Lytechinus pictus: one gene and its partners. The protein of the gene in region 2 purifies or fractionates together with the protein of the main gene of each other region. This does not show direct contact. Links are inferred from orthologs where the notes say so. Each region holds a gene or a part of one and is shown on either strand. Other genes may lie near its edges. The genes, in order: RNA N6-adenosine-methyltransferase mettl16-like, probable RNA methyltransferase Y17G7B.18 and cyclin-dependent kinase 9-like.

The links.
Region 1: the proteins of probable RNA methyltransferase Y17G7B.18 (region 2) and RNA N6-adenosine-methyltransferase mettl16-like purify together in Homo sapiens (affinity purification with mass spectrometry; 3 studies listed by BioGRID). This does not show direct contact. The link is inferred for Lytechinus pictus from reciprocal best matches to the Homo sapiens genes MEPCE and METTL16.
Region 3: the proteins of probable RNA methyltransferase Y17G7B.18 (region 2) and cyclin-dependent kinase 9-like purify together in Homo sapiens (affinity purification with mass spectrometry; 10 studies listed by BioGRID and IntAct, counting the BioPlex papers as one, with this or other methods). This does not show direct contact. The link is inferred for Lytechinus pictus from reciprocal best matches to the Homo sapiens genes MEPCE and CDK9.

What each region holds. Positions count from the first base shown.
Region 1 is NC_087246.1:17,016,892-17,027,711, reverse strand, and holds the start of RNA N6-adenosine-methyltransferase mettl16-like, read right to left. Parts: upstream 5,367-10,820; 5' UTR 5,309-5,366; coding exon 5,301-5,308; exon of another isoform or gene 5,240-5,300; intron 3,449-5,239; coding exon 3,093-3,448; intron 2,136-3,092; coding exon 1,995-2,135; intron 1,239-1,994; coding exon 971-1,238; intron 308-970; coding exon 238-307; intron 1-237. Other genes in the region: lissencephaly-1 homolog, read left to right, coding at 9,433-9,464. UniProt on the Homo sapiens protein: RNA N6-methyltransferase that methylates adenosine residues at the N(6) position of a subset of RNAs and is involved in S-adenosyl-L-methionine homeostasis by regulating expression of MAT2A transcripts.
Region 2 is NC_087258.1:6,972,007-6,982,826, reverse strand, and holds the start of probable RNA methyltransferase Y17G7B.18, read right to left. Parts: upstream 4,951-10,820; 5' UTR 4,520-4,950; coding exon 3,152-4,519; intron 1-3,151. UniProt on the Homo sapiens protein: S-adenosyl-L-methionine-dependent methyltransferase that adds a methylphosphate cap at the 5'-end of 7SK snRNA (7SK RNA), leading to stabilize it.
Region 3 is NC_087259.1:1,405,776-1,416,595, forward strand, and holds the start of cyclin-dependent kinase 9-like, read right to left. Parts: upstream 5,345-10,820; 5' UTR 5,044-5,344; coding exon 4,868-5,043; intron 4,859-4,867; exon of another isoform or gene 4,580-4,858; intron 4,556-4,579; exon of another isoform or gene 4,430-4,555; intron 54-4,429; coding exon 1-53. UniProt on the Homo sapiens protein: Protein kinase involved in the regulation of transcription.

The DNA of each region.
Region 1 (10,820 bases), on a different chromosome or scaffold from region 2:
TCCTCCCACTGGTCTAATTTATGTTTCTGATTCTTTTCCTAGTATAGGCCTATCTACCTATTCATCCTCCTCTTCCTCCTTCTATCCCCTTCTCTTATTCAAAGTGCCTCTTTAGCACTTAAAGACTTTAGTCTGGAGTAAAAACATGTATGGCATCACTAACATCTTTATGAAATGGCCCATTGAAGGATTGCTTACCAATTAATCAAAATGTGTATATCATAGAAACAATCTCACCTTGTGTTTTCTAAGCTCCTCTCTGACAAGAGCCAGGCTGGATTTTTTCCCCAGCATCGATGTGTACCACCTAATGAAAAAGAAACAAGAGACATCATATATCATTATTATTTCATACCCATTCAAACTAATGTATTCTGTGAAATATTAACTGTAACTAACTGAAATAATTGAGTATGTTTTGATGGAACTAAGTTTTCCCTTTAAAATTCATAATGTATAAAGGGTTATTAGCTATATATGGATTGAGAGATCATGAAGGAATTTTGAAAATCTCAAAAACATGTTGAATTCAGCAGATAAAGTGAAAATGTAATGTTTGAAATACAACTATTTATATAAGTATATGAATGATGAAAAATAACAAAAGTCCCACATTGGATATTAGAAAAAAATATACTCAAGTTGCCCTTTTCACCATGTATCATTTTATTTTATGATGTGCTGATACACTGCTGCACAATGCAAAAAAATACAAGATCAACAGTCATGACCAACAATGATGACAGACATAGATCTAGATCAGTTGCATCAATTGCATGTTCAGTCAAACCTGTAAACAAGAACCATCTGTCTATAAAGACCACAGATATTATTTCCCTTTACTAATTTTTCAAATTCTCAACATGTATCCATACAGACGACATGCTCATTAGATTGTTTTTCTTGTCTCCTGGGATAGTCTTAATACACATCCTTTTACTCTAATTTGAAAGCACACTTGGTGACTTACACAACTTGATGCCTAAGACGAAGACTCTCTTCGATCATCCTACGGACAAATTCTACCTCCCCTCCTTCCGAGATCATCTCCAGTTCGGCAGCAGTGCTCACTGACTTGGGCTCAGGTCGACTCATGCTGCGAGATGTCATAATTCCTTGCGCTTCCAGAGAATTGCCAAAGAAGGGTGGGTTGCACATCGTGAAGTGGTAGAGATGCTGTCTGGAGGGGGCGCTGTTCAATACATCTTCAAACATACTGCCTTCACATGTCTCCACAACTGTAGAAGCAAAAGAAATAGTCAAGTTGACATTGTGGCATCTTGACAATCAGCTATGACTACATTTTGACAGACTTAATGATAAAAAATCAGGTTAAAAATATCACCTGTAATTACAGTTTGGATTCAGGACTTACATACATAGTTGCTTGTCAGCATAAGACCGCATTTTCAAGAGCTTTTCAAGCAATACTTCACTGATTTAAGTAATGTCAGACAACATTACAAAGTCAAAAAATCTTCATAATCATATGTACTGATTGATACAGGTATCTTAAGGAAACCCCAGAAACAATGAGGATGTTTTATCTGCTTAAATGAACATCGAAACCCCTCCCATCCAACATGTGACTATCTTCAGGGCAACCAAGAAACCATACTAACACATGGTAGACAAGTCACATTTCTATAATCTTTTATATGATGAAAACACTGTGGTATGTTTTAAATGTTGTCCAATGATGAATTGGGGTGGGGAGGGGAGCCATGGTTCTTGGAAAACTTCCAAGGCAATTTGGAATTTGTGTTCAAATATAAATTTGTTGCCCTTTGGGTAAGGTGATCTCTAGGGAGACACTGAGGGAACTTGTTTCCATCAAGGGAGATGCTTTCTATGAAAATGTTCAATGGGCAATTTTATCTCAGGGGGAGTAACATATGACACCTTTCCACTCATAGTAAAGACTTGATTAGGTAGTTGGATCTCCTTAAAAAAAAAACAGACAATCAGAGGATAAATGAATGATCTATTATTACCTGTTATTTTATCCTGAAGTCCATTACTTGTGATGTTCTCCTTAGAATAATGAATAGCCAAGGCATCTACCTCTGATGCAATGAAGTTCCATCCGTTCAACTGAGCACCAAGTAATGGATATATACACGATGCACCACAACCTGGAATATTAAAAAAAAAACAATGATATCAGGCATTCTGTAGAGGTATACAGCTTTCATTACGTTAGGATTAATCTACTTCTACTCTTCAAATTGGCAACATTTTTCTTTCACTATACTTTTTAAAGAAAGAAATAGAGATATAACACAAGGAAAAATGAGTGATAATGGCAGAATTTCAAAAGTTGCCAATTTTCCATTTTTGAAGTGATTTTATTGTTTTCTTCACGTTGTAAATTCAGAGTGTGAACTGATTAAAATAAATTCATTTTACAGAAGAAAATGCAGAAGCATTGGTCAATCTAATCTAAGATGCAAGCTTTGATAATAATTGTTTTTACGCTGTACAACTGCATCAGACCAATTCATAACCATACAGAACAAAGTGTCTGTACATAACACAACGATGTAACATTGTGGGCAGATAAATTCAAGCAATAAAATTTAACAGCATCAGACAGTCAGGTACAGGTGGATCAACCATTTTGTATAAGACCTATATCAAATGGGTTTGTTTTAGCCAGTGGCCAAATTGTGATCAACTTAAATTTAAATGGCTTGCAATTGCTCCTGGAGATCATAAGTTGTTTGTCGAATTTCTTTTATAACATTGTACATCACTCCATAATAACTAGCAAGTAGCATTTTAGTAGTAGTAGTAATTTTATCCATACTGCATTATATAACAGCATTTACAAAGCAAAGGGCAACCAAATTTTAATTATAAAGAAGAAATAAAGAAAATACAGGAAATCAGGAAATGTTTTTAGGACTTTCTTCGAGTGATCTGTAAAGTTCATTGATTTGACGAAAGAGGGGATGTTCTTCTATTCTTTAGATGCGGTTACAGTAAATAAGTGATCGCCAGTGAGTCTTTGGAATGGCAAGCGAAAATGTGGGTGAGATGACTATCACCTGATTATTCATAGCGAAATAAAAGTTTGAGAAGATTCTCACCAATGTCAATGCCCCACACCGTCCCTTTGCTGTGGCCAGTCGATGCTAAGAGATCCTCTATCCAGTGAATGTAGTTGAGCCGTAGTGACAGGGTCGGGATGAGACGATCAAGAGGTAGCTCAACCTCTAGTCCAAAGTCTTCCTTCAGGAGCGTGCAGGTTAGTGACCTCAGCGACTCAGAATCATGGAAGTCAAGGGTCGCCTTGCCTGTTTGGTTCCTGATCACATGACGTGCAAACTCTGGATATTTCTTTGCTAATTCATCAAAGTTTGGTTTGTTGTCCCTATAGCGGTTGCGAGGGTGCATGAATTTGTTGAAGGCCATTATGCCTAACGTTAGATGTCTAGATCTAGATCTAAAAAAAATAAATAAAGGAAACACACGATAACAGGTATCAGAGTTGAGTTGGTACTGTAATAATAAAAAAAACATGCTTTAAAATGCATTTTGAAAAAAAAACTGTGTTACGCTTTTAGTTTGGTGGGGTAGACCTAAATATCTTGAATTATAATCCAGTATTATCCAACATTTTTTTTAATCTTTAAAAAAGTGTTTTGAATTTAACCGACACTTTTTTTTCTAAAAAAAGTGGCTGATTCTTTGTGAAAATTTTTGTTTGTTTAAAAATAACATCACTTATCTTACAAATTTATAGTTTGGAATAGACTACAAACATTTATTCTGAAATTTTCAGCCCATTCCAAGCATCTATTGTTGATTTAAGTTAGTTAGGCTAATAATGTCACCATTTTGGCGATAAAGCTATTTTTATAAATCCAGCCCACACACACAGTTAATTTTTAGGCATGCTTCACATGATAAAGGCCTAGTTACTAGTCAGATCTATGGCTATGCATTGCATGTATCATTTCAGTGCATAATACTAGGCATAGGCCATAGTAGACAGCTGGCAGCCGTCTGTTTCGAGGAGTTTTTTAACATTTTTTTTTTTTTTTTTTTCTCCTCATACACAGACGGCTCGCTAGCGTGCAGCCACCATTAGGGGACTTGCAATGCAAAATCCCCCCGTCGGGGCTCTTCAATTTTTGTCTTTAATGAGTAAAAATTTTGAAAATTCACGCGACCAAAATGCAAATTAATATTCCCTCTTGGCATCAATTGCCAAAAAACTGAGAAAAATCAAGTTAAAAGGAACAAAAACAGTGACTTACCTCGGCTGTCGCGCAAATTCACTTCCCCGTTTTATCCGATCTTAAGTACATAAACATATGGCCATTGAGTCCCCTGTACAGATCGCGCTAGAACTTCGGTCTCTGTATTTGGTTAGTGAAGCCCGGGGGGGCCACTTACATTGACGAGTGGATACCATGCGCGACCAAAAAAACACGTAAAAAGGATGTCTTTTTCACGATAGGGCACGTTACGTACGTAACGTGATAAGGGTGTCAAAAACGCAATAATAATGAAAAAAGGGTATCTATTTCGCTAGGACAATTACGTGTTTAGGGTCGAATTTGCGGGGATGATAAAACAAAATTAAAATGTTTTATAAAGGATGTCCTTTTGGCCCCAACACTTCGTGTTTAGAGTCCGATTTGCGCGAGGTGTAGAAGGTGGGGTCGTACTAAACCAAATGAGGTAAAGCTGACGACCGAAGGACCCGTAACAATAAAACATTCCTGTACTTGTTTAGGGGTTCATTTCAGGGAATATTTGCCATGATCTCGTTTTGTTTCCAATACTTGTTAAGGGTAGGGTTTCACACGCCAATACTTGTTAAGGGGTGCATTTTCAGATTATGGAAATTACGTGTTTAGGGTGCTTTTTGAGACCCCATGGTCGCGCATGGTATCCACTCGTGAATGGAAGTGGCCCCCCTGGGTAGTGAAGCCAACGGAGTTCAGCTGAACAACCAACATAACAGAGACCGAAGCTTTTTAGTGAAGCCAACGGAGTTCAGCTGAACAACCAACATAACAGAGACCGAAGCTTTTGGTCTAAGGCCATAGCGGGTGCACATGCATATCTTATCAATACCGCGGCCGCGCCGCCGTGCCCGTGGCTGGCTAAAAATCGGCATTCATGTCCAAGGTAAATAAACGTCCTCAAATTTAGCAGTAATAACCGGTCACTTCAAAATACAAGAACACGCAAATTATCGGTAATATACACGTTTAGACGATACCTGATAGTGCTTTGAATAATGAGACAGCTTAAGTAATACTGAAAAATAATGGTATTAATACAATATCATTCTATAGATCAATAAAAATGCAATAAGAAACAGCCCAAATTACTGTTGATTTCCGAGTAGTTGCTGCTGCAGACGACGAAGAGACTTAGAAACTGCGCACAAGTTTTCTGCGCATGATATTGCAGACAAGTATCGAAAGGGATTCTGGGTAATTTTTCAACGTGTAGCAAATATATGTGAGTCGGAAATACAGCAACAATATGCGTTGCGAGAAAAATACTTCGAACCAACGGACGAATACCGGTTTATATACTTGATGTTTGGTTGTTAAGTTCTTTATTTTTCGGTGAGCGTTCTATTTTCATTGGAAATCTATAGAATTCGATTCTACATCTAAATAGTTCGCAATTTGGTTGTGTGCTAGGATATGTGTGAAGGAGAAGGTGTAACGTTAGTGCTGGGCAAATGTGCATTCCCATTCCGTAGGCGTTGACATTTGTTGTGCATATTCTGGCCAATGCATGCAGTGCAGTGCATGAGCTGAGTTGAGTGAGAGTGACGTGAGTGAGTGCAGAGACAGAGTTAGAAGGGAGCGCAACATTGCAAGCCAGGCCCAGTAGCAGTGCAGTCATGGAAGTGGTAGCTTCTGCAGTTCTTTACAACTACTGTAAAACTAAAAGTGGAAATTTTTGCGGCAAGATGAAGATCGGCGAGCACGAATTTATGAGCATCTAATCTATTTTAATGCAAGTTTTGAACCGCGGTTCAATTGTGTGTATCGTTTTGGCAAAGAGATTGCACAATTTGATTTTGACCTAGGCCCTATAACTTGTTAGATCTTGTATAGAGGGCGACATTTAAGCAAGTAAGCTTGAGCTCCAAAATCGATCACAAATAAAAAGACATGCACGCCATTGCGAGAATTTGTTCCAAAGCATTGAGATAATTTTTTCAATAGTCGCAGATCAGTATTTAAATTATGATTTTGGAATTTGGTTGAAATATAAATTGCTTTTGCTGTGCGAGATTGGTGAGTGTTAAGATCTGTTTAGTTTTTAAGAAGACGTTGGGTCGATCACCCAGGTTTGTTGATTGAACCCATGCACTTTGAATAGCCGTAATCCCCCTGGTCCTTTATATTATAGGTGCTCGGCCGTCCATACCAGGCCAGCAGTGCCTCCGTTTTGCCTTCCCCGAGTCCACCCTGCAAAGAAATGTTGCGCTAAATGTCACAAAAGCTCATGATTGGATCAAAACAATGCTGAATTACGCCGCTTTAGAGCTAGAATTATGATCAGAATATACAATTTCGTCGCTGAAATGTTAATTAAAACCATTTACAGATGGGGAAGAAGGAAGTGACTTTGGATTATGGAGAGTGCAGCGCAAATTCAAGAACTTGCGAATATTTTTTGAAGCCGCCAAGCGTGAAAAATTAATTCGCGAAAATAAGAGCGTTTACAGTACAGAAGGGTTAAGGTCCAATGACTAAATGGGCCAGGCCTGCTAGCTAGATCTAGTCTAGTCTTGAGGACTCCATGATGATGTTTTTTTTAAATATTTTGACATATTCATCATGGAGTCTTGAATCCCCATCCATATAAGAGACACATGTACACAAAGATGGATTTCCCAAGGAAATCCATAGTTAGAGGGTGAAATCGGTTTGTATTGTCCAATTTTATTTATGAACCTTCAGGCGCCTAATGCGTATAAAGGGATAAAAATTATTTCACTATAAATGGTAAAAATGAGATGTTTCTTACCAGACCCGATCTCCCGTGGATCCCTCGATCCGTTTGTCAACAAAGCAAAGACAATAGACTTGACCCTTGAACCGCTTCGTGATGACGTACTTCCGACTAGCGATGCCGTCTTGAAGAACAATTTATAGATAAAAATTATTATTTCACAAATACTAAAATTTAATACGTGATTATAAATAATAAGTAGCATCTAGGGAAAGTGATTTCTGTGTAAAAAAATTGCCTTTTCCTTTTCAGAAAATCTTAAAATCCGTTTCAGCATGTTTGAAAAATGGAAATTCCGTTGGAGTAGCAATGTCACAGTACTCGGGCTGGTCAGAATTTGTATCCGCCACTAACAACGCTTTGGAATCCACTCTAATCTGATCTATACAAACACAAAACAATTTTAAGAAACACATTTAATATGAATACATCCTAACCTTTCACATTATTAGCATTATTTAAGGGTTGAATGAAATTTTATTGATAATGTGGGGATTTTTGGACATCGTTTTGAGCAGTCGACGACTATTGCCTATCTGCCATTTTGTATTTGAGGAGTACCACGTTCGTGCTGTTACATCACCGAACTAGAGGGTAGCAACACGAACGTGTGTTGCTGCCTACTACGTACGTTGGTTATAATCAAACAATGTTTGGTCGCTTATTTCAGCTTGGGCTTGCGTTTGACCCGCTTGTACAATGTATTTTTGATGTATGATCAAGTGATGGAGTCAAGTGCAGTCACGATGTGTGGATTGTCATGATTGTAGCGAAGTGAGATCGTGTTTTGTGGCCAGTTAGTATTTGTATTTTGTTGAGATTTTGGAGTAATTTCTGTTGCTGTTCTATGCATTTTGAGTAAAGATATGTTTTCTGTGATTTTCAATTTGAAAAGCCACTTTCCGTTTCAAAAGGCAATTTTCAAAAAATCACTGTCCCTTGTAGCATGATCACAGATTTAAGTACAGCACGTCCCCCCAAAAAATGTCCCTCTGACATAGGGCTGAAGTAATTCCAAAATGTAGTATTTTTAATCAAAGGTACATGAGTAGAAAGCTTATTTCATAATCTAACTTCTTGAAAATGTCATTGGTCTCGCTTCAGCGGTTTTGAATACATACACTGTTACACAACAGTAGTGCATTTCAGGCCATTCCAAGTTTGCAACACTGCTGTATTTCTGCATTGTCTTTAACATGTTAACCTCCACTTAAATACTATCCAGGATTTGAGCAGGGACATTTTCCTGATCAATCCTGGCTCATCAAATCATAAACTTGAGCATGTGCAGAAGGGTAATAACCATCAAAAAAGAAGTTTTTATGATTGATAGGCGATCAGTGCACCAACTTGAAGGAAATTGTGAATATTGGATAATCATGGATGGATATGAATGACGGATAATTACAATAAGCTGAACTATGATGAAGAGCAAACCACAAGTGTATCACACCTTGTGAAAGCGAACATTACTTGTGAAAATATTTTTTTTTTTAATTCAAAAAGGTACAGTGAATTCATTGTTTTAATGATAAAAAAGAATTAAATCAAGAATGCATTATTGTTGGAATTAGGCATGAAATACATTATCAAACACAATTAATTGTCAAGTACTCTTGTCGCCCTTCTTAACCTGCACAAGGTTGTAATTTGATGAGCCTGGCTAGATCATGGAGATTTCCTGGTCAGCTCAGGGAATTCCCTGATCAGATTCTGAATGATCAAAGGGGGTTGATATGCTAGGCAGTGCAGAACCAGCAGTGGTAGCAGTGCTGTATGTATGCGAACTTGGAATGGGCTGAAAAGCACCATTGTTACATAATAGACTGTGTATTCAAAACTGCTGAAGCGAGATATACATGTAGAAGTAAGGACTTGAGATGAGTTTCCTATTACCATACATTTGATTTGAATAATTTTCAATTTTTAATTAATTCAGCCGTATATAATCAGAGGGACATTTTTGGGGACACGCTGTATGGTTATCCCTACGATGATTTAGAATTTTACGCAGTAAGATGTTCTGTATGCCTCAATATTGGCATTAAATTTTATCGGGTCGCAGACGACACACAAATTCATAGGATGGAAAAAAATGTTTCACAAGAGGGTTTAGGTTACCCATAGGGTAATCATTTTATTGAAAATTATATATTGGGGTTCTACCTGTAGTGCTAGGCTAAATATTTTATTTTTATTTTTTACCCACAGGTTGAAGTGAGATGGAACGGAGGTAGGGTATGTGGAAGAAGCTATCGAGTGGTTATCGTGGAATAATAGACTGAAATTCTCAAGACTTATTCAAAAGGAAGAGGAAAATAAAGAGTGGATTTCCAATCAAGATCACTCTGATGGTTTTATAGAGGAGGAGTAGGAGGAGGACTTGATTCTCACAGTGAGCTGCTTATAGCAGCCTTCGACCACAGAGTCACCATGGTGCTCTCACAAAGACAGAGAGAAGAGCTGTAAGTATCATGAGAAGAAGAGATAGACTTTATTTTTGAACAAGGGCCTTCTTTTCCTACTTTAATTCCGTATAAATCACCTTTTGTATTGATATCAATGTTACATGTAAATTGCTTTTTAGGCCTGGGACTAAAACCCGGGTCCCACCCGGAAGCGTCGGGTACCCGGGTAGAAAAATTAATACACGATACCCAAAAATTGCTTAGCAGTATAACGTACCTGTATTTGATTTGTATTGCGTAGTGTAAGACACGTTACCCCTTCCGTCTGGACGTGGACGTTACTCTTAGCGACATCCAAATTAGGCAATTGCATAATTGAAAAATGTTATTTGAGTATCCCTTTATATAACAACAAATATCTAAGCTTACAAATATCCCTGATATTTGATCAAATATCAGTACCTAAAAGACAGAAACATAGAATTTTGTGCAGCAAAGACAATTAGCATGTCTGCGGTTGAGAGTTTGAGACCTTACGGTGCCAATGAAGGAACAAATTATCAAATAAAAAGAAAAGGAAATTTCTCGGCTTTACAAGAATGTGACTGTTTTTCGGCTCGTTTAAACTATAAAAGAATATTTTCACGGCAGTTTCTTCACTTTTTATATTTAGATCTAAATGACCTTTTCAATGAACAAAAATATTGTGGTTTAATAGTGTTAGATTAGCGTCTAGCCAATTATGGGGTCATTCCACCAGTCATATTTCATGCGACATGATTTTTGGGTACCTGGGTACCCGCCAGAAAATTACAGCTGGTACCCGAAGACAAAAATACCCGAAAGTCCCAGGCCTATTGCTGTTGTTATGTTAGACATCAGGGGAGTGTTTCATCAACATTTTCATCCGACAAGTTGTAAGATCTAACATCTTTCTCTGATGTTGATTGGCTGAGAGGTGCTGTTACTATGGTAACTGTCGGATAAAACGTCCGACAAGTCCTTTCATGAAACGCCCCCCAGGAGAGCGTTTTGTGAAAGGACTTGTCGGATGGAACGTCCGACATGTCCTATTTTATCCGACAGTTACCACAGTAAATGCTTCTCAGCCAATCAAATTCAAATAAAATTGTCAAATCTGAGAACTTGTTTGAGAAATGTTTATGAAATGCCCCCCCCCCCCCCCCCCCCCGGGTCAAGGGCTAAATTGCTCTCATGCTCTGTGTGTGTGTGCTGTTAAACGTTTGGATTACGGTAACTTTGTTGAAAGTAGAAAAAACTATGCTACTTATGAAATGAGACTACAGTGTATATGACATCATGTCATCATCACTGGGGTATTAAAACCTTGTACATGTACCTGTACATGTACCTCAAAATGAAACAAATTTTTTAGAGTAGCTCAGAAGAAGC
Region 2 (10,820 bases):
ATTATTTCATACATGTGTGAATGATATGTCTGCTACATGTATAAAATGAGTTGCAGCAATGGATATCTCACGCACTATTCAGTTGTCAATCCATTAATATTAAATAGTTCTTGGAGGAAATAATTTTAATAAACCTAATTTCATACAATAAAATACAAAAGAACAAGTGAGGATATGACGTCAATTCAAAACTTTAAATGACGTCAATGCACAACTTTAAAATGCCATAATTTTGTTATTCTTTGTCCAATTTTGATCAAATTTTCAGTGTTTTGTTCATCTAATTTTTCTATATCTGTTCGAATCATATTACTTTCAGCCTGGACTACCCCTTTAAAATTAATAATGTAAATTATAGCTGCAATTTTCACACATTGGTTTTGTTCTAGCTGAATTTTCAAGTCTACAGTGTATGTGCACTTCTGTACATAATCATCATTACTGCACATGAAAGCAATTTTATTACTAGAATCCTGCAAATAAAAATTTATAACACACATGAAGTTTTTTTTTAAATCACCAAAATATTGACTCATACAATGACAAAACAGGGATAATACAAGGATCTTAAAACAGAAGACTTCAAAATGAACTCCGAAACTCTCAATGATTTCTGGAGAGTTTTTATCTGTCAGACATCTCAGGAAATCTTGGAGAGAAATGATTGCATACCATGATAACATTGTCCCCTTCAGACAGGAGGTGGTTTCAGACCGCCTCGAAGTTCGTCAGCTCCAGGTATTTTCTGATCGGGAAATTTACCCCGATCAGAAAATACCAGGTATTTTGGTAATGTGAAAGCAAACTACGCGTAATTTCCCCGAAAGAAAATACCCGCTAAATAGTAGGTACTTGGCGAAATTACGAGAACTTTCGCGGGGATTTTTCCAAGGTCGCAGGTATTTTGGCAATGTGAAAGCAATTTACGGGAACTTTTAGCCCAGCGTGTCGTTGGGCGCGGGCGCCGTGGGTGGCTGCTGGGCTAGTGGTTTTGAATCTCGCACCTTGCCTGCTTATTAGACCATACTGCGCATGCTCCTAACTTCAGGAATTTATCCCAAAGGGTATGTTTCGGGGCGGTGTGAATGCAGGAATAATTAATGGGTATTTTTTAGCCTAAAAATGTTCTTGTAATTTAACGGGGATTCTTGTGATCGAGGCGGTTTGAAACCACCTAATGTTACATTCATGAAACCTTCTCAACAGGTAAAAAACCTTTGGGATTTGCTTGAGGGAGGGGTGGAGTTACTTAGTTTCAGGCACAGACCTAGGATGCAGTCATTACAATATGTAGGTTCTTTCAGACAGACTCAAAACCAAGAATACCAGACTTCTCTGATCAAGAAATTTACTCTTCTACTTGAGTACATGTACATGTATGTACCTTCATGACAAAATACCAGGTATAATTTACTTGTTTATACTTGTAATATTCAAAAAAAAAAAATAATAACCTGCTCAATATAGGTAATATACTTGTAAAAATTACATTGGATGATCAGTAGAATGCTGTCAACCATGTAACAAATGCTTTTGCGAATTTGAGAATTGTGTTTTGAATCAAAATATCACTGCTCTATTTTCTCAATTATACAATATTCACTTATTTTCTTTCAAAATTTTGTCATTTTAAAATGAGTATGAGTCAGAGTGCACATACATAGTAGTGAGGCAATTTCCAATGGGACTGTGCATGTTTTGAACAAAATGATTGTTTTTCATTGTACTTGAATTCCATCCCATAATGCATTGCAACTGAGAAATTTAAAGGCAAATGAAATGTATTGGTGATACAACTTCAAAATTAAAAGCAGTCTTACTTTCAAACTACTAGCGAACTGTGGTAATTGTGTGCTGTAGCTGGCACAAGAAAGATAAAGTTGTGAAGTTGTGATGGACTTCTCTCAAAACCAGTACAGTATTGGTAACACTACAGTCTGTGCATTCATTGCATTCATTATGCACACAACACTACCAGCAGCTTCATCACTTTTCATTATTTATCATTACCACCATCATCACCATTGTCATCATCATCATCGTCGTCATCATCATCGTCATCATCGTCATAATCATCATCATCACCATTATCATCATCACCACCACCATCATCAACATCATTATCATCATCTTCATACATTCACCACTGGCAGATCCACTGGCGGATTGTAATGTAAAAAATGCCGTTAAAATACAACTGTGCCCCCCCCCCCCTTTTTTTTTAAGTGAGGACCTTCTTTTTTTGCTTTTTAAATTTTTTCGTGGACGAAATTTACGTAATTTTTGGTTGAAAACCTAAATTTTTTTTAATGCTTGTCAATTTTTTGCCCCCCTCCCCCATTTAGGAAAATCCTGGATCCGCCCCTGAAATTCACAATCATCAACTGTATCACCATCATCAGTTCATTGATGTAAATATGAAAGGTATTCTGTTGACTTTCAGTAGTATAATAATCAAAATTTACCAATCAATCTTTATTAAAGGTCAAGTCCACCCAAAAAATTGTCAATTTGAATCAATAAAGAAAAATCAAACAAGCATGACGCTGAAAATTTAATCAAAATTGGATGTATATGAAAGTTATGACATTTTTAAGTTTTGCTTTATATTTTTCACAAAACAGTTATGCACAACTCATTGATATGCAAATGAGAGTTGATGATGACCTTCACTATTTTCATTTTTTTTAATTTAACATTTCAACTTTTACAGATATGACAATAAGGACCAACTAGACTTAACCATAAACCATTAAAAAAATGGCAATTCCACATGTTCAGGGAGGAATACAATTTTGTGACAATGAGGAGAAAATAATAATTTTTCAGATTTCATATAATAAAATACAACAGAAATAGTGAGTGGGTGAAGTCATCAGTCTGCTCATTTGTATACCGACCAGGATGTGCATATGTATATAAATTGTGAATTAAGTGAAACTTTAAATTTTTTAAAATGTCATAAGTTTCTTATTTTACATCTTATTTTTATGAATTTTCAATGTTATGCTTGTTGGATTTTCTCCTTTTATTCAAATAAACTTTTTTGGGGTGGACTTTTCCTTTAAGTTTAAATTAACCAAATCCTCTTTTGACTCAATGGTTTTGGTTTAATTTACCACTATTATACATGTACAGTATATATACTCACACATCTAAACAAGACATTTCCTGGAAACAATGATTTTTCTCTTTCAGCTGGTGATGAAGTGGATGCAGCCGGTGCCAAAGGTCCATACGTCTTCTGCAGGGAAACTGGAAAGTTCACACGTCCTTTGCCTTTCTTCTCCCTGAACAGTTCTTCAAGGCAGTGCTTCACATTCTTCCTGGCAACTCCAATCAAGTTTCCATCAATGTCTACACCAACAATACTTGATGGATCGAACAGTTTCGCAACGGCTAGTGTCACATGACCAGAGTTACATCCGATGTCTAAACACTTTTTGCCTTCAAACCATTCACGTTTGAAGAGGTCTATGCGATTGTCATCACTGTTTGGCGTACGGTAACCATAGTAACGTGCATAGTTGCCGTACTGGAATTTCTTGTCCTGTTCTCTGAATTTAGGCAGGTGCTTAGATGTTTTCGAATCATGACTTTGCTGTCTCCTAAACTTGTTGACTACCTCTGGAGACTTTCGCGACCTTTTTAGTTCTGGTTCACTGCTCTTTGCTTTTGGCTGTGGCTGTGGCAGTAAATCATCAATAAGCAGAGCTTTCGCCAGTCTTGAACTAGGCTCTGTCCGACTAGCTTTCCTTTTGCGTCCTCTCGAGTCTGGAAGAACTGGAGAAACAATTTTGTTTGCGAGTTTTGTGGTTTTACTATTTTGCAACTCGAGCCACAATGGCCTGGTACAAGAGCTTTCCCCATCTCTATCAGAATTTCCCACTGATTCAATGCTATCACGCTTTGCGTCACCGCTATTGTGGTATTTCTTCTTCTTTCCTGATTTTCTGGACACCAGAGTTTTGGTGAGCGGAGAGTTTTCTTCGTTGTCATCAGCTGTATTCAATTTCAGAGGATCTTTGAAATCTTGCGGAACAATGATTGGATCAGGGTCCTTATTAATTTGAGGAAGAGGTGAACAAGCTGGAGTGACTGCATTCGCAATTTTGGAAATCTCTTCGTCATCGAGACTGTTCAAATTTAAAGGATCGGTGATAGAACCTCCAAGAAGAAATTTTGGTTTCGATCCATTTCTTTCATACGTTTTTCTTCTCCTCTTGATTTGCCCAGCTGACTTTGATGTGCTGTGATGTCGCTTGCGACCAGCTCCCGCGGCTCCTCCAACACCACCGCCGGTGACCAGCGTGTGTGACGGGAGAGTTCGTGCAGTCAGACTCCCAACATGTTCGGTGGCCATGGTCGCGCTCTCTACCACGACCGCCAGCCCACAACTTGTTCCTCCTATTCTAGCATTTTTCAGTGTTCCTGGCACATAAATACTAGCACTGCTACTCGAAAATGGATCACTTCGGGAGCCCGATTCCGGGCTAGCTTCCAATACCTTCGCCGACATGATTTCGTTGGAGACATGAGAGCGGCAGCCGCATCTGCACAACGTTGCACGTGCGATTTGGCGATGTAAACAACTTCACCCTCGCGATTTGCATAAAAAATGTCAATAACATGCAAAGTAGGGTCACGATACTCCAGTCAAATACACGATCGTACGAACTCAGGCCCAAGGTTTCTGCCGAGATTTTACGAATACACAAGGTTGTTTCTCCCAAAATATCACATTCAACGAGGGCCAATGTCATAAATGACAATCCTACTCAGTCAAAGATGGCAAAAATGAAGTACTAACGGTGAAATCTCTGGCGAAATGTCAGATGTTTCAAGAACGTAGCGGCCCGCGATGCTTGCGTAGCAAAACGATAACCGTTTCCGCGCTTGCGCGAAAATGGAATCTTGGGAATGTTTCATTACCTAGTAAACAATCATTCTAAATGATGTAAATAATTTGTGTTGTCTTGCATTTTATCCGTAATATTGTGATTTGAACATGAATTTGAGTCACTGGCAGACAATTACTTGTAAAATTTCTTCAATCTACAATTGCCTGTATACTATGAGCATTATTCCCATTATTCATAAATAGGATCGATGCTGTCGTCTGCTACTTCGCAGAATATGAGGCCACCTCGCGCGCTATACAGGCTCAATCACAGGCCCACGCCACGGCCACTGATACATCATTGTACACATAGTGCATATTATCATGGAGGTGAAGTCATCGAAGGAGGGTGTATGACCCCCATTGGCCTATACAATCAAAAAATGTATTAGAGAAACGTTAAACTGCTTTAAAAAAGATCTCAGCCAGGGTTGGTCGTCGTTTTTTAGGGAAGGATTTGCCAGTCTTTACCCCCCCCCCCCCCCTCCGTCAGAGGCCATGAAGATAAGAGGAGATTGAGAGGAATTGAGCCCGGAATCGAGAGGGCAATATCAGTGCAAAAAGGTTAGCTTCTGACTGACTTTTGTTTTTCTTTTGTTTGTTTTAATTTCGCACTTGTCCTATAACATGCCCCCGCATCAATGCCCATCTCTGATTTCCTTCCTTTTCTCAGCGTTGCTTGTAAGACAAGCACGGATTCAAGCATATGGAAGGGGCACATGATGTGCCGCCCATGGGCGGAAATCCCAGGGGGACGCATCCCCCCTACTCACTATTTCTTTTGTTTTTATTATATGAAATATTCTAAATTTCTCCTCATTGTCCTGTGAAACAAAGTTTTATTTCTCCCTGAACATGTTGAATTACATATTGTTTAATATTTCATGACTCAGTCAAGTAACTCATTGTCAAATCTGTGAAAATTGAAATATTGTATGATTCAAACAATAAAAAGGGAAAAGAAATAGTGAGTGATAGACATCATCGATTCTCTCATTTACATGTGACTAAATTGTGCACATTTTTTTGTGAAAAATAAGCGGAACTTATTTTACATCCGATTTTGATTAAATTTTCAGCATTATTCATTTATGCTTGTCTCATTTTTCTCTAATGATTCAAATCAACAATTTTCTGAGGTGGATTTGACCTTTGACTTTCAAGCTCTGTTAGACGAGTAAATTCGGTGGCGTAATGAGCAAAAAAAATGAGGGGGACTAGATATGGGGCATTGCGTAAAATTTGAAAAAAGTTGCGAGCAAAGTGAGCGAGCAAAATTTCGACATTTTTATTACAGAAATCTAATTTTTTGATAGATTTTGACACTTAGTAAAATTCAGAAAATCTTATATCATATGTCACCCTTCTTTCTTTCCTTTTCTCTTTTTTTTGTCTAGAAAAATTTGGGGGACAAGAGCCCCCAAGCGCCCCCCCCCCCATCTGTACGCCAGTGGGTAAATTATCAGGAGTGTACATATCACATGCGAGTATGAAGCGCAAGCTGAAAATTATTGATATCCTGAATCCGAACAACATAAGGGGCCCGTACTTAAAGGTCAAGTCCACTCTCCAAATTTGAATAAATGTAGAAAATCAAACTAGCATATTGCTGAAAATTTCATCAAAATCGGAGGTAAATTAAATATACAACAAATATATTTCCTCGCACTATGAGTTATTATTGTTTTCTGTAGTGACATATGCTTCTTTTTCATGACTACTTAAAGTGATTGCCCCATTTTAAGGTCTTAATTTAAAACATTTCCTTCCGTGCTTACGTTTGCATTAGTGGTTTGGTGAGATAATGTCTGCTCTCCATGAATTCCTAAAATCAGTCCTTAAATTGTCCCTTTTCTGATCTAAATATAAAAAAATTTCAGCTCGCGCTTCGCGCTCGCATCATTTGGTTAGTGAAATACGTATGGTCTTAGTGAATTCCTACAAACAAGCCTTAGAATGCCCCTCTTCAGGTTTGAATTTACTAAATTTTCAGCTCGCGCTTCGCGCTCGCAATATTTGATCATTATGCGTATGATAATCATGATTACAATGACTACAGAAAGTGCTTCATGTGTTCAGATGTAATTCTAACAATATCAGCAAGCGCTTGTCATTCGCATTAGATGACTATGGTGAGATATATATACTCTTAATGGATTCCTAAAATATAGTCCTTAAATTTTCCTGTTTGGGGTCAATGTATACAAAAATTTCAGCTCGCGCTTCGCGCTTGCACTATTTAAGCAGTGAGATAATATCCGTTTAATTGCACTGTCCTTAAAATGTCTCTATATCAGGTCAGTATACCTGGCAACTTAGCGCGCTTTCGTGCACTCACTAAGTGACTCGAAATTTTGCCGGTGCCCCCCCCCCCCCAATGCCGAGACCCACGGTACGCCACTGTTTGAATTATACAATATTTCATTTTTTTAAAACAAATTTGACAATAAGGACAATTAACTTGACTGAACCATACTAGTATTAAAGTATTGAACAATGCTAATTCCACATGTTCAGGGAGGAATTAATCGTTGTTTCACCTGACAATGAAGAGAAAATTAGAATATTTCATATAATAAAATACAAAAGAAACAGTGAGTGGATAACGTCATCAATCTCCTCATTTGCATACCGACCAGGATGTACATAACTGTTTTGTGAAATTAAGCAAATCTTTATCCCCACCCCCCCCCCCCCCTATTGGCGGAAAAAAGGAGGAAAGAAAGGGGGGAAAGAAAAAGAAGGGAAAAGAGAGGAGAAAAAAGGGGGAAATATAAGAGGATGAAGACGAGTAAATGAAATAAGATGAGGGGAAGAGTTTGAAAGTCCTTCTCCGATGTGCTCATTATTGAACCTCATACATTATTGTGTCTATCCTCTCCTCTATTTTCTCCTCTCCTGTCCGCTTATCCGCCTTCCTACCGGTTATTTGTTTACGGCATCAATCACATTTTTCGTGCATTATATTCTTTCCAGGTTATTTTATATACTTTTCCTCCTTTATACACATCATTGAATCCAGTTTGCTTGAGTCCACGACGGCATGTGTTCTATCTACATACAGCAACACCCATCCATCTTCTCAGGGCATTCTCCCCTTATTTTGTTATTTGTTGTGTTATCTATGTTTTGAGGGGCCCACATTGTACAAGCATTGCTTTTTAGTGGGTCCCTCCATTTCCATCTTAATTTAATTTCTATTGAAAAATAGTATACTTATTTAAAACCTACAATGTGTTGCCCAAATTGTCTAAGTGTTAACATATGTATCATTATTTTCCTTTTTTTTTGCAACGTATACAAATATTTATGTTTATATATGGTATACAATTCATGTATGTACAATTGATGGAAGTGAAATAAATAAATTTGAATTTGAATTTGAATTTGAAAGTTATAAAAAAAAATCTTTCATGTCACTATATAAAATTTTCGCTCGCGCTTCGCGCTCGCATTGCCTTTAGGTGCTCAATTATTAAAATATCGAATTCGGAAGTTAATATACAAAACGTATTTCAGCTTGGAAATCGAAATTTTATTATTTTGTTTGATTTACAAATCGATTTTTTAAAAGTGCTCTGTAAAAATTTCTGTTTCATGCATTGTCAAACAACTTAAAATCCACATTTCATGGCAGTTTATCAAAATTTTCGGCTCGCGATTTGCGTTCGCATTGAATGTTGAAAATAAATTAACTCATGCATCTTATTCATAATTTATGTAATTACAAAAGTTCATTAAATGTCAACAATATTAACGAATTTCGCGCTCTCATTAGGCTTATTAGATTAATATAAATAAGATATTAATTTAGATTCAAATTGTCCCTTTATGGAATATCGACAAGTTTCATCTCGCGCTTAGAAAGAGAATTAGGAAGATATAGTCATAATTTTCATATGATGACATAATTTTCTTAGAATGTCCCGGTCCTATGTCAAAACTCAAAGTAATAAATAATGAAACACATCAGCTCTTTTTTAACTGTGATCCGTATCCATCTCACAATTTTCCTACAAAGTGCTTAAAATACAGAGCTTAAATTGACCCTTTTCAGATTGGAATATCAAATATTTGCGCTCGCGCTTTGCGCTCGCTTTATTGATTTTCATGATAAAACAGGCATTTAGAATACCCAGATTCTAGGGCTCGGTGTAAAAATGGCAGAGGTAAAAATGGCAAAGGTAAAAATGGCAGAGGTAATAATGGCAAAGGTAAAAATGGCAGAGGTAAAAATGGCAGAGGTAAAAATGGCAAAGGTAAAAATGGCAGAGGTAAAAATGGCAAAGGTAAAAATGGCAGAGGTAAAAATGGCAAAGGTAAAAATGGCAGAGGTAAAAATGGCAAAGGTAAAAATGGCACAGGAAAAAATGGCACAGGTAAAAACGATAGAGGTATAAATGGTCAGTTTTAAACCCCCATGCCAAAAAACCCAAAAGCCCCTCCATGTACAGTAGATTAAATATGAAAGGTTCTGAGAAGAAATTTGGAATTATAATGTTTGACTAATGGAAAGAGTAACATTTTCAAATTATGCTGTAGATCTTCTGCACCAAATTGATAACACTTGAGTTGGTATTTCTTATTTTTTCTTGGACTTACATGCACGGTCTTCTCATGTCAAATCGCTCTTCTAATATTCAAATTTGAAGCACACTTTGGATCCCAAGTATTATACTATTATTCATTACAGGGGAAATTCACACTGACATAAAGATTATTGTAGAAATAGCAGAAAATAATTAAAATGATACTGGTGGGGGTTTTAGGGAATCCATCAAAGATTTAAAAAGCTGTTAGAATTTTACATTTTAACGGTGACGTCATTTGCGAGCAGTTTTTCCCGCATATGGTGTAATAAAAAATATCAATGAAATGTCAATTTCTAAAAAAAAAACTGAAAATGGCTTTTATTGTAACATACAAATCATTTCACATCCGCACCTGAAAGATTTTTTTTAGCAATCATGAACCACTGATTAAAATATTGAAAAGTATACATTTTGGTGCATTAAATACGGGGCAGCTGCTAGTATATGACGTCACAGATCATAAAAACTCAAACTTCTAATAACTATATCTTAATCTTTGATGGGCTTGCCGCAAACTTTCACCAATATATTTTTCTGCTCATTTTACAGTAAACCATTTGTCAGGGTGAATTTCCCCTTCAAAACAGGTCGATAGAATGGTACCTAAGAAACACCTAAAAATTCAAATCCCTGATTCGCTACACATTTCAAAATTAATGCGGTAACCGTTACCATAGAAACTAGGTTAGGAACCTGACATCCACTTGGACTAGGTGCAATGAGGTATTGCTCTGAAAAACTGAACACTAGTTGCTATTATTATATCATTTACATTAAACTATATACGTATCATATCAATATCTATTCGGATCCATTATGATGTTGAAATATGAAAAATTGCTTTTCTTGCAGAACGTTTTGTTATTTTTCTGTTATCCAAGTTATGCCAGTGGTTCAAAGAAATCCCGAACTTGTCTATTTCAGTGTGTTAATGGTAGCGCACATTGGTCTTTACATTAAAATTTGTTGGTTATGTATGGGATGAAGTGCTGTTCTACTATACGAACTGGCCAAGATAAATACTTTCATCAATAATAATATTCTGCATTTATATAGCGCTTAATACATCGGAACGACGTCTCTAAGCGCTTTATACAGTATTACCCCGGTCATCGGATCCTTGCATGCCCGCATACAATGTATGCACCTTCTCCACTCCCTGGGGAGCATTCCAATAAGAGTTCCAAGACTCAATTGCTAGGCATACTACATATAGGCTTTCACATCCTACCGGGTACCCATTTAACACCCGGGTGGAGAGTGGCAAAGTGTGGATTAACGCCTTGCCAAAGGACGCTATAGGCCATTGTGGGATTCGAACACACGAC
Region 3 (10,820 bases), on a different chromosome or scaffold from region 2:
TCTTCAATGCAACAATGTTTTTATTCTTCTTATGCTTTGCTTTGAACACCTCGCTGGAAGGAAGGGAGAAAAATTGTTAATATGTTATTTTATTTCAATCTCAATGAGGTTATGAATAATTTGCTAAACTGCATTTGTTTGAATCTTTACCAATCTGACAATATTCAGCTGAAATTGAGGGATATTGGGTTTTTGTGTAGAGTGAGACATAACCTTATGCCACCTAAGATTGAAATCATTTTTTAAAATCACTATGATTAAGCTTTAGTCATTTGGAAGACAATGTCCCGGCTCCCAATGCAAGAAACAGTTAGGATCAGAAATGAGCAGTATAGACAGTGATAGTGCATGGAATTTGAAATAGTGGGCTGGTTCAATGCGTTGCTGCCAATATCACTAACCATACATGTATGTGTCTATGGCACGGCAGAAGACTTGAATGTGGTAGCCTACATGTATAATCAAAGGCGGAGGCTGCAGTTATTGTCTTTGCTGTTATGCTGAACGCAAGCAATACGCAGGGGCCGCGGAACGGTTTTCAAAGTGAGGGGGGGGGGGGGCTGACCATGCAAAAAATCACAATCATATGGTCATTTTTACGTTTTTGTACCCTAACCCCCCCCCCCACTTCCGCTGCCCCTGATCCGTCTGCAACGTTCTCGCTACCACGCGTCACGGTGGGCGGGCGCCGACTACCCTGAAAATTTTCAGGGCAAAGCCGCCAACCGTGAACGTCCCCGACAACCTGGACAACTACTGTAAAACAAGCCTAGAACTACACCAAAAACTGAATAATATATACTGGGGGTATAAAAAAAAAATTTGGTTTTCAGATCCTAAAATAAACATGTCAATTATTTTGTCCATGTTTTCTTCTCGGGATTTCTTCTACCATACGACCTCAACTCGAGGCCCAAAACTCTCTTTTGTAGGAGGCGCGAAGATGTTTACCTCGCATTTGTGTATCGCATTGCTCACATTTACGTCTTAAAAATGGTAGTAAATACGCTCAAAAATAAAATGAGGGGAGAAGGCCAAGGGTACCGTCGGTTACTTGTTTGGGCAATGTAATTTAGATGTTACGGATTTCAGTTGATATAAAAGTAAAGTGTCAAAAATGATATCAAAATTTAATCGAAATTTAATTTCATCCATTCCCAGCCTGAGTACATGAATGCTTTTCTGATGACACTGCCGTAGAGCGAATTGATAAAATTATTCAAAGATCACATCAATAATGACAAAGACAAAGGAATGGATTGATGAAATGTCCAACTCATTTACTTACAGCAAAATGATTTATTCATATTTATATCTTTTGAAAGTGTTAGTTAATTTCACGACGGTGTGTCTCCCAAGTTCTGTCTCACTCGACACATGACATGCCACACATCAGCTACAGTACAGAAATGTATTTGCCAGCGTTACATTGTATAGCTGGCAAATGTTAATAATAATAATAATAATAATCCGTTTTTATATAGCGCTTAATACATCGGAACGACGTGTCTAAGCGCTTTACAGATATATTATTACCCCGGTCATCGGATTCAATCAGTCATTCCCGCACACAATGTGTGCACATCCTCCACTCCCTGGGGAGTATTCCAGTCAGTCGCCGGTGAGGCGCACACAGTACTGGACAAGCTACAATGACTTTCACATCCTACCGGGTACCCATTTAGCACCTGGGTCGAGAGTGGCAAAGTGTGGATTAACGCCTTGCCAAAGGACGCCAGACCGCGGTGGGATTCGAACACACGACCCTCTGTTTGCAAGGTGAGAGTCAGAACCACTACACCACGGCTCCTCCACTGTTGTTTATACGGCAATAAGTGGTGAACACTAATTGTTCTCCGGCATGCGTGACGGAATTATTCAATTCCGTTGCGTCGAAGGTGTTTCATTTGAATATGAAAAGAGGGGATGCGAGATAAGGGTGTGGTGTTGTAGGGGAAGTCATTCTAGCTTTCCAAGGACCGCACACTAGCACGTTTTTTAATATGGAGTTCTTTTTATAGAGTGAATTAAAAAATGATAATTGGTAGGAGACGTTGTTGCATCAAAGTTTAAATTGCGGTGGCCATACGGTTTTTTCAGAGTTTAGTGCTGATTCAGTTTTATATCTGTTTTTTTAAACCCGGGCATAATTAGGGTTAGGGCATAACAGTTTAATTAGTTATGACTTCACATGATTAATGTTAAGAGGTATAAAAACATTATATATGTATGATTCTCAGACAGAATTTATTAGAAGTTGTTTTCATACTTTGAAAAATGAAAGTGTTGATAATTTATGTGAAATAAATGCCGTATCTACGTGCTAGTAGCTCGGCAGGCTATATCCCAAAATAGTGTATATTTTGTTATTTTGTCAGAGTGACATCTGGATGTGATGGTTGCTATGGGTGATATTATGTGGTAAACGATGTTAGGATGAACTACAAATCGCACATGGCATCAAAATCCTTGATTAGAGTCTTCCAAAATTAGATGGGGTCCAAAACTAATTTAATTTGAATTATTATTTTTTTTCCAGATATTCATTGAATCTATTATAATTTCCCTAAGTAATGATTTTATTTATATTATTCATACTATTTATCATATTACGACTCATTTTTAATGTGAGTTATATACGTTCGGTACAGTGTATTTTCATTTGTATTGTTCTTTATTGCTCTTTGCCCGCCAATTAGATAATGAACGCGCATGTCACTGTCCCAAGAAATGTTTTTAGTCATCACAGTGAATACTTTATGAATTTGTTGTACATGTGCTTAACAATTACGATTTAAAATAAAATATTATTTGAAATTAATCTGTGTAAAGGAGAAAGAGAGAATATGAGGGTCGTCATGGGCAATGTAAATGGAAATGATGGGATGTTTGTGGGGGAGGGGATTGGCGAAAAGAAGTCAATGTTCGGAGTGAATGAAATTAATATTCATTTATGGATGTGTCTGCTGTGATTGTGGCTGAATAATCTTCATGACAATTGGGAAATCCACCTTGGGTCTGGAGGGGTACGTGATTTAATAGATTTAGAAGTACACATTCAACATAATAACAATACTTTGTTAAACATATTTCTGATAGAGTGGAATTAACAATTTATTCATAGATATTCATTTCAAGTATAAATTATTGAAGTTTATATGTTTGAACGTTTTAGAGGATATGTATTTCGTTTGTTCACGCCCACATGAGTTGCTAGTATAATTTGAATATCGTTGGATGAATTGTTTGATTTCACCTATGTCTTTACAGGTTTATAGGCAAGGGGCTACGCATACGGTCCGTAGATCAACGTAGTTGGTCATTGACATAAGAAGCAACATGCATTCACAAAATTAATCGCACTTTCTAAGGATGTAGAGATCTAGACATTGGAAAGTATGGAGTAAATTTATCAATATTATCGATGTGAATAAATCTATAAACTGTTAGTATAAAATGAGATTGACTTTAATTCCTTTCCTTTGACATTTTTTTAATTGATATATCAGTAGTGCCTTAATTTTCTGCTTCAATCACAATTCGCGCAACCGTTACGGCTGTGGGGCCAAAGAAGCATTAAATAGACATAAAAAAACTCATTAGGTCAACATAGATTTTGTTAACGCACATTACATATTCTGAAAACCATAATTCATAAAATGACTGTTCGCGCAAATTTAGTTGCATAAAATTACATCACCGTATCCAGATGCCGTATCGTGGGATACGATGAATTTTCATGAGCTGATGACGTCACAAATCAGTTTTTTTTCTTTGCGTTTGCTTATCCTTGAAAATATTTTGCTAAAAGCAATTTTAAAATGATTCGTAAACATTTTTTTTACCTTTCAGCACAACTGCACATGCCAAGCATTAAAAACTCTTATTTTAAGAAGTTATCATGTTTTTATGCTGTAACTCTCATTCAAATACTTCACCTGACTTTGACATTCCACGGCAGGTTCATTTCACTTTTGTCTAGGGGTGGCCATTTAATTATTTTTATCACATGTCATTGCAGTTGTCAGTGCAAAGACTTTTAAAGATTTTTAATCTGTCGGCCTCTAGAAATTTGGAATGCGTCCGTTTTTTTCGACTTCATTCAGCAAATGAGCATGGAAATATGACTCCTGAAATCCTTTAAAATCAGAAACATCGTTCATGACTCAGGTAAGCAAAGTATCATATTCGAAATTCATTCATCACAGATTAATAATGTAAAAAAAAAAAATAAGGCCAGATTTCATTTTTTAATGCATCTTTTTTGTACATTCTAATCATGTCATGACCGATGACTCATGAATGCTGAAACTGAAAGAATTAAGAAACACAACTATTCCCGATGACATCATAACGCGCGTGCATGATCATGATGATTTATTTTTATTTTTTGTAAGATAGTAAGTGCAGCACCCACAGTGGAATCCCTACATTTAGCCAGGACCATCATGGCTAGATCTGTTGAAGGAAAGTATTTAATCTGGGGCCAGGGGGTGAAAATTTCAGTTTTTTCGCGGTACATGCACATGATGAATGGGACGCAATCCCTGGCCTAGTAAGTGGAGAGTAAGCACACATTAGTGAATGATTTTTACTATCTAGCCTAGGTCTAGGACTAGGAGCCTCCTGGCTACACACACGAGAGAAGAGAGGTGATTAAGTCGAAGCAAATTTCACGATAAGGCCACTAGTGACTAGTCACACAAATGGCTGCGATGCTGTCAAATTTGGTGATTTTTCTCTTGTGCAATATGAATTACCGCAACACGAAATCGTGATATTCTCCATCCAATACATGTGCAAAAGACATGCTCTGTTGTGGTCCAAGGTTTGCATGTTGCGCTACAGTTCTATTTCGGTAACTTACCCAAATGTTCCCTGGCCTATCTTTGCTAATTTTTCATATTTAGTGACTTCTTCACAATATTTGAATTCCATGGATTCTCCCCCTTTTTGATACGGGGCCATTGCCATCTTGTATCCTTGATTAGCTGACGATTGACCGGGTGGTCCAGAAAACGTCGACGCTTTGCTTTCAGCCATTTTCACATTTTCGTTGAAATGAAAGAAGCGAGTACTCGAGAGCTAGTACAGTGCAGTGCATGCAGTGCATGCATGGGATCGGAATCGATATTAATTTCAAGGCTTTCGATTTAAAATATGAAACTATAGTTGTTAAGAATTCAAAGACTTCAAAGAACAACTGAAATTCATGACGCTTTTCATTTCTTTTGAAAATGATTTAAGTATCTATTTTAATGATGTCGTTTGGAAATAGAGAAACAAATCTAGTGAATTTTTTTTTTTAAAATTAGGGTCTGGGATTTTTCTGTCATTCGTGTTCAACCAATCAAAATACTCGTATCGGACACACCTCCAAACCTGTATCCTGTATCTGTGTGGACTGTGGTGGCTGTGGCTGTGCTGTGGGGAAAACCAAGGACATTAAAAGTGTTTTTAAGTCAATAACTACATTTTTTTTGCTGACCGGATATCTTAAGGTGAGTATAAATTAATATGGAATTTTTGCATGTTGTGGAAGTTCATTTCTTTTTATTGAGAGCTTCTTAAACTTTGTTTGCCTTGAGCTGCCTCACCTCACATGCCTCAGTTGTTGTGAATGTGAGTTGACACTGAGTCTGACACTGACAGGCAATACATATGGTGCCGTGGTCCCCTAACTTAAGTTACCCAGGGGCCGATTGCACGAAAGGGTCTTTCCAAGGACCGTCTTTCGTGTCGCCCATCTTTTATGATGCGCTGTAAGCGGGGTGTTTCTGAAATTTATGATAAACAAATAAAATTCGTAAGCTTGCTTTTAAATCAAATTTTATACAAAATGAGATATCACATCATTTTATTAACAAATATTTTGTTTATTTTAACGGACAAATAAAATATATTTGCAGATAATTTATTTGAAATGCGTTTTACATGGCGTATCATAAAAGATGGGCGACACGAAAGACGGTCCTTGGAAAGACCCTTTTGTGCAATCGGCCCCAGGGAGCCCAGGCCAGGGGCCTGTTTCACGATGAGCTTGGGCCTGTTGCATGACGAGATGAGCGATACATAGGAACGTCCTAGCTAGGACCATTCTTCCGAGATAGGAAGATTGGCGACAAATCAGCGCTTTCCGGGTCATGAAGGCAATTTTGTCTTCCAAGTCCGCGACATCGTTTGAAATTGATACTAACAGTTATACTTATTATACTATCAGAAAAATATTTAGTCTTCATCATCACCTGAACCTTTTATTTCGGAATGACGACTTTTCATAAAACCATATATTTCAATAAATGGAGATCAAATAATGTTTTATTTATTACTGATTGTAGAATTGATCATTGATGTATGGAGCTTACTTTATTTATAAATGAGGTAAAAAGAGAAAAATAATTTTTTTAAAGATTCACTAACAAACTGGATAAAATCGAGATTTTCATTATTTCCCTTTAATAAATGGATTTGTTTAGAACACAATGTCCTTTTAGTCTTTAGAGACACCTTTCATTGATATTTTAACGAAAGAGACCCTTGTCCGACATAAAAATTGAATTGACTAAGTAATTTCGACATAGTATTATTTGTTCAATAATCTGTATTTTCATAGAATACTTATTTATAATGATAATTTTGCAAATTATGCATTAAATGTTATTTGTTGAGGTAAAATAAGGGTTTGAATGGAGTAAACAAAGTCAATGTGTCTGATTGTATGAGACTAAAAAGGAAAATATGAGAGACTGCATGTAAAAAATCTAATTTATTTATTTCATTTGTCAGATATAACGCAAGAAATACATGTGAGTGTTTAGAGTAGTATAAACATACCAAGACAAGCAAAATATGAAAATTGGTGCAAACATGTCCAAGTGGGTAAAGTAGTGCTTTGCAATAATAAAACATAGAAAAATGTGTGAAATCAATCCGCAATGGAAAAAATACTATTTACAGAAACAATGCTAAAAATGACAACGATCATAAACGTTTGTCATATTTAAGTTGACAACTTTATGGAAGTTTATATAAGAATATAAACTTTAAGAAAATAAAAAATATAGATATGTATGTTCAACCGATTTTGATTAAACTTTTTTTAAATCGTTCCTCTCATTTTACTCTTTCCCATAAGATTGCTTCTCTTCTTGGGTTTTGGTTTCCTTTAATTAAAAAAAAAAGGGATGGGGAAAAGACGGAGGGAGAATAATAAAAAAACATATAAAATTATTTGGGCCTATTACCCCGGAGAAGTTAAAATGACATCCGTTGATGACAACTAGCCCCCATATAAAAAATAACTTGGCGCCATCCCAGATAAAATGCATCAGAGTGCAATCGAATGACCCCCCCCCAAAAAAATGTTTAAAGGTGATATGTCAGTGTGGCTTGCCGTAAACGCATTTTCTCTCAATGCCGACGGTGGCGGGCGGTGTGCAAAGAAGATCATGTCTGAAGGTGTCTTTCCAAGGACCATTCTTCCTTGCCCAAATCGGCTTTGTGAAACAGTTGAGCGATATCTCGTTCTTAATACGTAGAGCGGTTCTACCAAAGACCATTTCATGAAACAGGCCCCAGGACTCGTCCGTGTAATATTAGGCAGAGGGTACTCTATAAACTGGGGTAGAATGGGTAGCAATAGCACCCCAAATAAAAGAGGAAAAGTTAATTATGCACTTACCTTGATTATATGGATGAAAGTCTATCGTGACACAGAATCCCAACATCGAGGCACAAACTGGACCCTCAAAAAAAGGAAAAGTTCTGTCTCGTTCGTTCTCCTTTCCAATCTCATCAGCTTTGATGTTTAGTCATTGTTCACGAGTGTACCAGTTAAGGATGCTTGCGCCATCATCCTTGAGAGATTGAAATTTGACAGAACTCTCCCTGACAGGACACAATTGTCTCCCCTAGAGATCCATGACCTGCTTGAGATGTGCCTCAATTCCCTGGGGGGGGGGGGGCAGTCAAATATATTGCTGTACACACGCGTGACCACCCCCTAAACAAGTTTTTCTCTGTGTGCAAAATAGCCCCTTAAACAAGTTTTTTGCAGGCTTTATTTACACATCTTGGCCCCTTAACAAGTTATCGCCAAAATATGACCTCGGGGGAAAAAGCTTGGAAAAAAAAAATACCCTAAACAAGTTTGGCTAGTCTTAAAAAAAAAAGCTTTGGGAAAAAACATACCCTAAATACGTTTGACCCCGCGAATGACCATTGACCAGTCTTTCAAAACCACCCTTTTTCCTGAAAATCTGTGTTTTTGATATTCTTAACGAGTCCACGCGCGGACCGCGTCAAAAACCGAAAGAATACCCCTTTAAACGCGTTTTTTTTGTCATGCGTGTGTACAGCAATATATTTGACTGGCCCCCCGGGCTCAATTCCACCTCTTTCAGATGGAGAGATACATTCTACAGGCAAACAGAGGGGGCTGCCATGGGTTTTTCCTTGTCCCCAGTAGTAGCCAAAATGTTCATGGAACATTTCGAGGACACGGCTCTCCAATCACAAACCCAAAGTGTGGCTTAGATATGTGGCTGACACTTTTGTGGTTTGGCACTATGGAGCTGAGGAAACTAGCAATACAATTTCTTCAGCACCTCAACTCTTAACATGAGTGTATCAAGTTCACCATGGAAATGGAAAATGAGGGGTCTATATCCTTTCTTGATACAAAGATTACGAGGACGGCACAGGGATCCCTATCCCATCAGGTTTATGGCAAACCTACTCACATTGATCGGTACTAGAACTATCGTTCATTCCACCATCCATCAGTGCTGAGATCCATCAACAAGACGTTGGTCAAACGAGCCCATGAGGTTAGTGACCAGATCCACCCGAGAGGTGAACTTGAGCACATCAAACTGTTCTGAAATGTAACAACTACCCCTCACATAAGATCTGCACTGAGCTTCCCCCCTCGCGGAACCGGAGCAGCCTCTCACAAGATTCAGTGGATTTTGAGAGAAGCCGACATTGAGGTTCGTCATAGTTCCTCAAATTCTATCTGCTTCTATCTGCCCTCACTACCCACAAGGACAAGCACAACTCCAAGGACCTCCCTGGAGTTTACCAAATTTCTTGTGAATGCGGTAAAGTTTACATCGGCGAGATGGGTCGTTCCTTTAACACTTGGATTAAAGGAACCTACATGCAAGGCCCATGGTAGGAGAGACGAGAGGGACAAGTCTGCAATCATCGATCATGCTCACACGCATGATCACCGGATTCTCTGGGATGAGAGTAGACTGGTCACCCATGTCCCCTAGTGGCCATCAGCAGAGAGTCAGAGAAGCGTTGGAGATTGAGGAACATAACACTGTTCCTCAAGACAGCAGCCTCCAACTCAGCAATATCTGGCTTACTGTTCTAGACAAAGAGGCTAATTAGTCTAATTAGCCTGCCGGGACGTTCCACACACGTGTGAGCATTGCAGTGTACAGGCGGAAGTGGTGGCTTTTGTCATTCATGCTAATCTTAGCAGGAATGATAATTGACGGCATTTCCGGTCGTCGCTGGTTTTGCGCGTCCAATTTTGTGTGTTGTCACCCACGTCTGCATATGTGGATGTCATGTGACTTATATCTAGCCAATCAGAGACAAGTACCCTGCTAGGTACCGTGCACACGGCACTTTGACAGAGTATATATAAGGCCTGCTTTTACAAACTATGCTCATTCTCCTGAAGATGACAAGAACACACTTGAAACGTCAAGATTGGGTGGTCCTTTTCAGGACCAACACTTGCCCAAGAAACCTTCAGAAATTACATAATTCAATAATTGTAATCTTTTCTAATTTTGTCCTCTATATTATTTTCTCACACTTTGAACTAAAAATTAATGAAATTTTTTTCCAAATGGCTGTTTAAAAATCGATCATTGTCCAGACACACAACCTGTCCGGACACACAACAACTGGGTTTACATGATCCTTGGGTAATACCACATATGAGATCTAGGGGTCAAAAGGTCAAATGATATGAGGTCATGTCCATCTCTTTTTGATTTTTTTTGTTCAACTTGCTCTCATTTCTTTATTTTTTCATCAATTGTGATCACACTTGGTTCAAATGATCCTTGGGTAATACAACATCCATGTGTTGTTGAGGATGATGGGTCAAGGGTCTTCTAAAATATATAATTTTTATAGATATCACAAGGACCAACTTGACTGAACCGTGAAATGTTAAAACAATGGTTAATCCATACAGTTGAGGCCAAAAGTTTACATACACCCATGGAATTTAGTGAAAATTGTTTGCTTGCCAAACATCGTAAAATTTACTATATCTTCAGAAATATAGATATTACCATGATGAATTTGGTATCAAATGTGAGAGCGTATTAAGCTTTTTCACATGATTGGGATGTCGCTGGGATTAAAATATATTTCAGGTGGAATTTTCTTTGAAGAAAAGAAGTAATATTCGTGCCAAATGTATTCTATTGTTTGTTATTATATTTTCAAACATTGTTTCATAGAAATATATAAATGTCAAATCTATTATTTATATTACATTTTCTATCATATGTCACCACTGAACAAAAAAGTGTACCGTAATCTGAAATGTTTGTGTTGAGAAGTAACTAGCACCAACATGAAATGTTTTTGTCATGTTTTTATTTTTAATTTGTCTAAAATATGAAGAATTTTGGGGAAAAAATGACACCTAAATATTTTTCAGCTCCTGATGACAAAGCAATGTTGAAGAGGCATGACATACTCATTAGTTTGATATCAAATTCGTCATGATAGCACAAACATTTTATAAGATACAGTAAATTTTGTGATGTTTGGCAAGTGTCAAC